Coturnix japonica: one gene and its partner. The protein of the gene in region 2 purifies or fractionates together with the protein of the main gene of each other region. This does not show direct contact. Links are inferred from orthologs where the notes say so. Each region holds a gene or a part of one and is shown on either strand. Other genes may lie near its edges.

Region 1 (4,088 bases), on a different chromosome or scaffold from region 2:
TGATCCAATCAGTACAGCACCGAGAGCACGCTGTAACCAACACACAGCACTGAGTGGATCAACACACAGCACTGAGGATCCAAGCACAGCAGCTGAGTGATTCCAACACACAGGCACTGAGTGATCCAACACAGCACTGAGTGATCCAACACACAGCACTGAGTGATCCAACACAGCACTGAGTGAATACAACACACCACAGCACTGAATGGATCAACACAGCACCTGAGTGGAATATCAACACACGGGCCATGCAAATGAGTGATACCACACAGGCACCTGGAATAGGATCACAACACAGCACTGAGATAGATACCAACACAACAGCATGAGTGATCCAACACGAGCATGAGTTGATGGCCAATGTACAGCACTGGTGATTCAACACTGAGTGATCCAACACACAGCACTGAGTGATCCAACACAGCACTGAGTGATCCAACACAGCACTGAGTGATCCAAGTCCCAGCAAGGAGCTGTGTTAGGAGCTCACCCTCCTCATTGCCCGGCTTGTAGCACTGCCAGATGCGCACGGTCTTGTCGTCGCTGCAGGACGCCAGGCGCTGCCCGCTGCCATCGAACGCGATGCTCCACACGGTGGATTCGTGACCCTCCAACGTGGCACAACAAACCCAGTCGTCCTCCTCCTCGTGGTACAGCTTCACCGTGTCGTCGTAGCTGGCTGAAGCCAGGAGCTGGGACAGGAATGGGATCAACACCCCAAACCCACAGGGATTGCAAAGCCCTGCCCCCATAGAGGACCATTCAAACCCCATCTCTTGGGAGCACTGACTCCTTATGGCCCTGTGGCTCAGATCCTTTCCCATCACACACAGTGATGCCCGCAGGTCCCGCTGCCCTTGAGCTGGGCTCTCACCTCCTGGTTGGGATGCCACACCACGTGCTTGACGTCCTGAGTGTGAGAGTTGAGGACGCTGACACACTCGTATTCCTCCTCTTCATCCACTGCGGGGAAAAACACCTTCCATGAGGGAATGGGGCCAGAAGGGACAGTATTGGGGTCAGAAGGGGCAACAATGGGGCCAGAAGGGACACAGTGGGGATGGAAGGGGCAGCAATGGGGCCAGAAGGGGCAGTATAGGGGGCAGAAGGGACAGCAATGGGGCCACAAGGGGCAGTATAGGGGGCAGAAGGGGCAGCAATGGGGCCAGAAGGGACAGTATAGGGGGCAGAAGGGGCAGCAATGGGGCCAGAAGGGACAGTATAGGGGGCAGAAGGGGCAACAATGGGGCCAGAAGGGACACAGTGGGGATGGAAGGGGCAGCAATGGGGCCAGAAGGGGCAGTATAGGGGGCAGAAGGGNGGGGCAGAAGGGGCAACAATGGGGCCAGAAGGGACACAGTGGGGATGGAAGGGGCAGCAATGGGGCCAGAAGGGGCAGTATAGGGGGCAGAAGGGGCAACAATGGGGCCAGAAGGGGCAGTATAGGGGGCAGAAGGGGCAGCAATGGGGCCAGAAGGGGCAGTATTGAGGACAGCAGGGACACAGTGGGGCCGATGCCCTTGGGGTCCCCTCATTCCCCCCCTCACCTTCCCAGACCCACACGCTCTTGTCCCGGCTGCACGTTGCCAGCAGGCTGCCCGACGGCGCCCAGGCCACCGACTTCACCTCGTTTTCGTGTCCTTCCAATGTGGTGACGCACTGTGGGGGGCACAAGGAGCTGCAGGGCGCCACTATGGGGCTGGGTTATGGGGCTGGGTTATGGGGCTGGGTTATGGGGCTGGGTTATGGGGCTGGGTTATGGGGCTGGGTTATGGGGCTGGTTATGGGGGTTGCTGGGTTAGTGGGCTGGGTTGTGGGCTTGGTTGTGGGGGTGGGCTGGTTATGGGGTGGTTGTGGGGCTGGGTATGGGCTGGGTTATGGGCTGGTTATGGGGCTGTGTTATGGGGCTGTGGGGGGGGTCTGACCTCGAAGCCGTCCTGGCAGCGCTTCCAGATGCACGTGGTGGCGTCGAAGCTGGCAGAGGCCAAATAGGAGCCACAGGGCGACCAGGCCACTCTCCTCACTGTGCGTTGGTGGCCATCAGACAGCACAGCACGGCAAGCCTCCAGCTGACCCTAATAGGGGGGGGGTGGATGGGGGACCCCAATAGGAGCCCAGCCCCCACCCCACCCACGTGTATTAGGGCCATTAAGCCCGCCCCCTCCTTTAAGCCCCTCCCACGCTCCTCTGGCCCCGCCCTTTTTACCCCACCCTCTCGGCTCCGCCTCCTATTGGCCACACCCTCCCTTAGCCCCGCCCCTTCCTTAAGCCCCTCCCACCACCATCTGGCCCCGCCCACATTCACTATGTCTCCGCCTCTACTCGTCAGCCATTGGCTGCGCCCTCTCTTAGCCCCGCCCCCTCCTTTAAGCCCCGCCCACGACCCTCTTAGCCCCGCCCCCTTTCACCGTGTTCCCGCCCCTACTCGTCACCCATTGGCCGCTCCCTCTCATAGCCCCGCCCCCATTCATTGTCCCCGCCCCTACTCATCAGCCATTGGCTGGGGCCTCCCTTAGCCCCGCCTCTACTCGTCAGCCATTGGCTGCGCCCTCTCTTAGCCCCGCCCCCACCCTTGAGGCCCCGCCCCTTCCTTCCGCCCCGTTATCCCCCTCGTTCCCGTTATCCCTCGGTACCGTCCCGCCCCCACACTCTCACGGCCCGGTCCCCGCCGCAGGACGCGATGAGGTTCCCGTTTGGGCTCCACGCCAGGAACCAGCACCGCGCCTCGGGATGCGCCGCCACGCGGCTCTGCAGCACCAGCGCCTCCTTCATCGCGTCGCACCGTAATGACGTCACACCGGAAGCGGAAGCGCCGCCATGTTGCCGCCCTAGTGACGTCACCGCCGCGCTCGCCGGAAGCGGAAGCGGAGCCCGCGGCCTGAGGCGGTGCCGGCTGTTCGGGCCGCAGCCATGTACAACCCGGCCGGGCCCGGGCTGCACGGCAGGGGGAGGCGGCGGGGAACGGCGGGAGGCGGCGGGGGGGGGGCGCTGCCCAAACAACCGGAGCGGAGCCTGGCGTCGGCGCTGCCCGGGGCTCTGTCCATCACCGCGCTCTGCACCGCGCTGGCCGAACCCGCCTGGCTCCGGATCCACGGCGGGACCTGCGGGCGGCAGGAGCTGGGGGTGGCCGATGTGATGGGGACCGTCAGGACCGAGCTGCTGAGGGGTGAGAAACGGGAGAGCGGGGAGAGTGGGGCGGTATAGGGTCCTTATGGGGCTTATAGGGTCCTTATGGGGTTATGGGGTCCTTATGGGGTCCTTATGGGGTCCCTATGGGGCTCGCTATGGGCCCGCTATGGGGTCGCTATGGGGCCGCTATGGGGCCGCTATGGGTTCGCTATAGGGCTCGGTGTGGGGTCCTTATTGGATCGGTATGGGATCGGTATGGGGCTTATTATGGGGTCCTTATGGGGTCAGTATTGGGTCGTTATGGGATCGGTATGTGGCTCGGTATGGGGCTCGCTATGGGGTCGTTATGGGGGTCCGTATGGGGTCGGTCTGGGGCTCCTATGGGGCTCAGTATGGGGTCCTTATGGGGCTCAGTATGGGGCCGGTATGGGATCGGTATGGGGCGTATTATGGGCTCGGTATGGGAATTGGTATGGAGCTGATGGGGCTCGGTATGGGGTTGTTATGGGGTCGGTATGGGGTCCTTATGGGGTTCTTATGGGGTCATTATGGGGTCTTATGGGGTCCTTATGGGGTCGCTATGGGGTCCTTATGGGATAGGTATGAGGCCCTTATGGAGCTCGGTATGGGTATCGCTATGGGGCTCGCTATGGGGTCCTTATGGGGCTCGTTACGGGTCTCATTATGAGTCTCCTTATAGGGTCTTTATGGGGTCTTTATGGGTCTATGGGGTTTTTATGGGGTTTTATAGGGTCGGTATGGGGTTTTTATGGGGTCACTATGGGGTCATTATGGGGTCCTTATGGGGCTCGATATGGGCTTGTTATGGAGTCGTTATGGGGCTCGGTCTGGGGTTGTTATAAGGCTGATGGAGTCCTTATTGGTTGTTATAGGGCCGCTATGGGGCTCCTATGGGTCATTATGGGGCTGAGGTTTGGGAGCAGCCACTTTGTGCT
Region 2 (3,500 bases):
TGTGGTCTGCAATGGTACCAAAGGCAGCCCTGAGGCACCACAGATCCCCATGTTTTTGAGCCTCGTTGCCTTCAGGGGTGCCGAGGGGAGTTGAGCTGAGAGTTGCCCTCCACCCACATCTCTTGGTGCAGGTGCCACTGCTGCTGAGGGCCCTGATCCAGCTGGGCTGTGTCTGCATGGTCAGCAGGCAGCTCGTCCGGCACCTGACGGGCCGTGAGGCTGAAACCTTCGACATCGAGCACCTGGAGATGCGCTCGCTGGCCCAGTTCCCCTACCTGGAGCCAGGTGAGTCAGCAGGTGGGGGTACTGGCTGTGTGCCTGGCACCCAACAGCCAGCACACACCACTTGTGCTCTTCATCCGTAGGGAGCATTCGCCACATCTACCTCTACCACAGCTCCCAGGGCAGCAGGGCCCTCTTCGGCCTCTTCATCCCTGCGCAACGCAAGGCTGCTGTCTTTGTGCTGGACACGGTAGGAGCCTGGAGGCTTTCTCCATGCAGACAGCAGTGGGTTTTCATCAGGGATGGCAGGGTCGGACCTGTCCTGAGCTGCCAGCATGCAGCCTCCTCCCTCACTGTGTCCCACTCTGGTTCCAGGTGCGCAGCAACCAGATGCCAAACCTCACCACCATGTTCTCAGCGGAACGAGGAGCGCTGCTGGAAAGGGTGGGTGAGGAGCTGCTGCCTCCAGACAAGCACAACTTCGAAGTGCGTGCCGAGACTGACCCCAAGGCCATCTACAGAGCCATCCAGCGGCTGCTGCTGGGTTACAAGGTGAGAGCTGGAGGCACCCCATGGGTGTATTGTGGGGGGAAGGTGCTGTGGGAGGCACTGCTGCAGAGATGTGGGTGTTCTGCCATGTTTGGGGCTGATTGCTGCAGAGCTGGGTGCTCCAAGAGCTGCTGTGCTGAAGGTCCCTTCTGTGCAACAAATGGCCTGATGGCCTCCAGTGGAGCCCTAGTGCTGCCTGGAGAGGTGCAGGACATGTCTTCTGCTCACAGGATGAGCGCCGAGGTCCCACATTGATCGCTGTGCAGTCCAACTGGGAGCTGAAGCGGCTGGCGAGTGGCGTCCCCATCCTCGAGGAGTTCCCTCTGGTCCCCATCCGGGTGACAGATGACATCAGCTACTCAGTCCTGGACTGGCAGCGCCATGCAGCCCGACGCATGATCCGCCATTACCTCAACCTGGACACGTGCCTGTCACAGGCCTTTGAGATGAGCAGGTGCCTGGGGTTGGCCACGTGTCCCTGGGGTTGGCCACGTTGCCCTGGGGTTGGCCACGTTGCCCTGGGGTTGCTGTGCTCCTCGCTGGATGGGGAAGAGACTGCAGCCATGCCAAGGGCAGGTGCTGCGTTCCTTGTTGGGGCAGGCATAGCTGTGCTCACTCCTAATGACTGCAATTGTCTATTTACTCCAGATATTATCACATTCCCATCGGGAACCTCCCTGATGACATCTCCACCTTTGGCTCTGACCTTTTCTTCTCACGACACCTCCGTCGTCACAACCATTTGCTGTGGCTCTCCCCCACTGCCCGCCCCGACCTGGGGGGGAAGGAGGCTGATGACAACCGCCTCGTCATGGAGTTTGATGAGAGAGCCTCGGTGGAGATTAACAACCCCGGCTGCTACTCCACAGGTAAGGAGGGCAGAGCCAGGTGTGCTGCTCTGTGAGCAGTGCACGGGGCTGGATGCACGAGCTCTGAGCTGGCAGTAGTGCCGCAAAGCTTTGATGGTTTGGCAGTGATCTGGGTGAGGTGTTTGTTGTGGGCATGATGCAGGGATGGGAGGTCCTGTGTGCAATGGGAAAATGTACGCAAGTATCCATGTGTAGATCCAGTTCTAATTTATGGACACCAATAGCAGCACTAGGAAGCCTGGGATGGGGATGCCCTGCCTGCCTGCTGAGTGGTTGTACTTTGTAGTGTGTCTGGAGCTGGACATCCAGAGCCTGGCTGTGAACACGGTGCTGCAGTCCCATCATGTAAATGATATGGAAGGAGGTTCCAGCATGAGCATCAGCTTTGACGTAATTCAGCAGGCATCCTTGGAAGACATGGTGACAGGGAACCAAGCTGCCAACATCCCAGCCAGCTATGATGAAACTGCCCTCTGCTCCAACACATTCAGGTAGGGCTGGAGCAGCTGGGAGTTTACAGAGGCACATATTTACCCTGTGGCTGAGGACCATAGAGTCATCCCACATATCTTTGAAGGCATGTCCCTTTCTGGAAGGAGGAAGGGATTGTTTGTGGCCAGTGGGGTAATATTCCTCTGTGCTCCCTGACAGGATTCTGAAGAGCATGGTGGTGAGCTGGGTGAAGGAGATCACGCAGTACCACAACATCTATGCAGACAACCAGGTCATTCACTTCTACCGCTGGCTTCGCTCTCCTTCCTCATTGCTCTATGACCCAGCACTGCACCGCACATTGCACAACATGATGAAGAAGCTTTTCCTGCAGTAAGTGAAAACTGAGAAGGAGGGGACAGGCATAGCATGGCACTTGTGACTGGGATGCTTGTTGGCACCCTCAGCCAGTTCCTTCTGTTGCATCTTCCAAAGGGACAGGGCTGCAGATGGGCAGCGAATCAGAGCCACTGTGCTGTCTGCTGCTAACAGGGAGCTGGATGGCAGCAGTTCTTCCTGTGTGCCAAATGCAGCTCCTGTGCTCTGCCTGCAGGTTGGTGGCTGAGTTCAGGCGCCTCGGCTCTTCGGTGGTGTACGCCAACTTCAACCGGATCATTCTGTGCACCAAGAAGCGGCGTATTGAGGATGCCATCAGCTACATGGACTACATCATCAACAGGTGGGCAGTGCCTGTATTCTCAGAACTCTTGGAGGATTCTGTCCAGGAGTTGCCCTCTCATTGCCAACACCACTCCATCCCATGGAGAAGGCTGTTCATTAGACGCTGATGTCGTGGGTGACTGCAGTCTCTTCCCTCCAGCATCCACTCAAAGGAGATCTTCCACTCTCTGACTATTTCTTTCTCCCGCTGCTGGGAGTTCCTGCTCTGGATGGATCCAGCTAATTATGGAGGTATCAAGGGAAAAGTGCATTCTCGCATCCACTGCGGGGAGGTAAGGGAGAGGAAGCTCTCAGTCCCCAAGGAGCTGAGCTGACTGGGGAGGCATCATCTGGCTCCAACGAGTTCTGTAACATCATTGTCTCTCCGTGTGCTGTTCCAGAAGGATACCAGCAAGAAACAAGCACTAGAGGAGGGAGACAGTGAGGAAGAAGAGGAGGCAGGGGAAGAAGATGAGGAAGAAGGGGAGTCCAACATGGAGGAGCTGCTGGAGAACAGCTGGAACATCGTGCAGTTCCTGCCGCAGGCTGCCTCCTGCCAGAACTACTTCCTGATGATTGTGTCGGGTGAGTAGGTCCTGGCAGTTGATCCCAAGAGCCCTGCCATGAGACAGCTGCTGTTGCTGCTGCCCCAACACGGGCTGTCCCCATTGGTGTCCCTGCAGCCTACATCGTGGCCGTGTACCATAG

What was found.
Region 1: the proteins of POLE (region 2) and CIAO1 purify together in Homo sapiens (affinity purification with western blotting; 3 studies listed by BioGRID, with this or other methods). This does not show direct contact. The link is inferred for Coturnix japonica from reciprocal best matches to the Homo sapiens genes POLE and CIAO1.

Annotation. Positions count from the first base shown.
Region 1 is NC_029537.1:1,034,588-1,038,675, reverse strand, and holds the start of CIAO1 (probable cytosolic iron-sulfur protein assembly protein CIAO1), read right to left. Parts: upstream 2,801-4,088; 5' UTR 2,776-2,800; coding exon 2,626-2,775; intron 2,079-2,625; coding exon 1,929-2,078; intron 1,663-1,928; coding exon 1,551-1,662; intron 967-1,550; coding exon 878-966; intron 696-877; coding exon 494-695; intron 1-493. Other genes in the region: TMEM127 (transmembrane protein 127), read left to right, coding at 2,914-3,169. UniProt on the Homo sapiens protein: Key component of the cytosolic iron-sulfur protein assembly (CIA) complex, a multiprotein complex that mediates the incorporation of iron-sulfur cluster into extramitochondrial Fe/S proteins.
Region 2 is NC_029530.1:8,891,167-8,894,666, reverse strand, and holds part of POLE (DNA polymerase epsilon catalytic subunit A), read left to right. Parts: intron 1-131; coding exon 132-285; intron 286-365; coding exon 366-472; intron 473-597; coding exon 598-774; intron 775-1,001; coding exon 1,002-1,225; intron 1,226-1,419; coding exon 1,420-1,640; intron 1,641-1,926; coding exon 1,927-2,131; intron 2,132-2,291; coding exon 2,292-2,465; intron 2,466-2,685; coding exon 2,686-2,811; intron 2,812-2,952; coding exon 2,953-3,085; intron 3,086-3,193; coding exon 3,194-3,377; intron 3,378-3,475; coding exon 3,476-3,500. UniProt on the Homo sapiens protein: Catalytic component of the DNA polymerase epsilon complex. Participates in chromosomal DNA replication.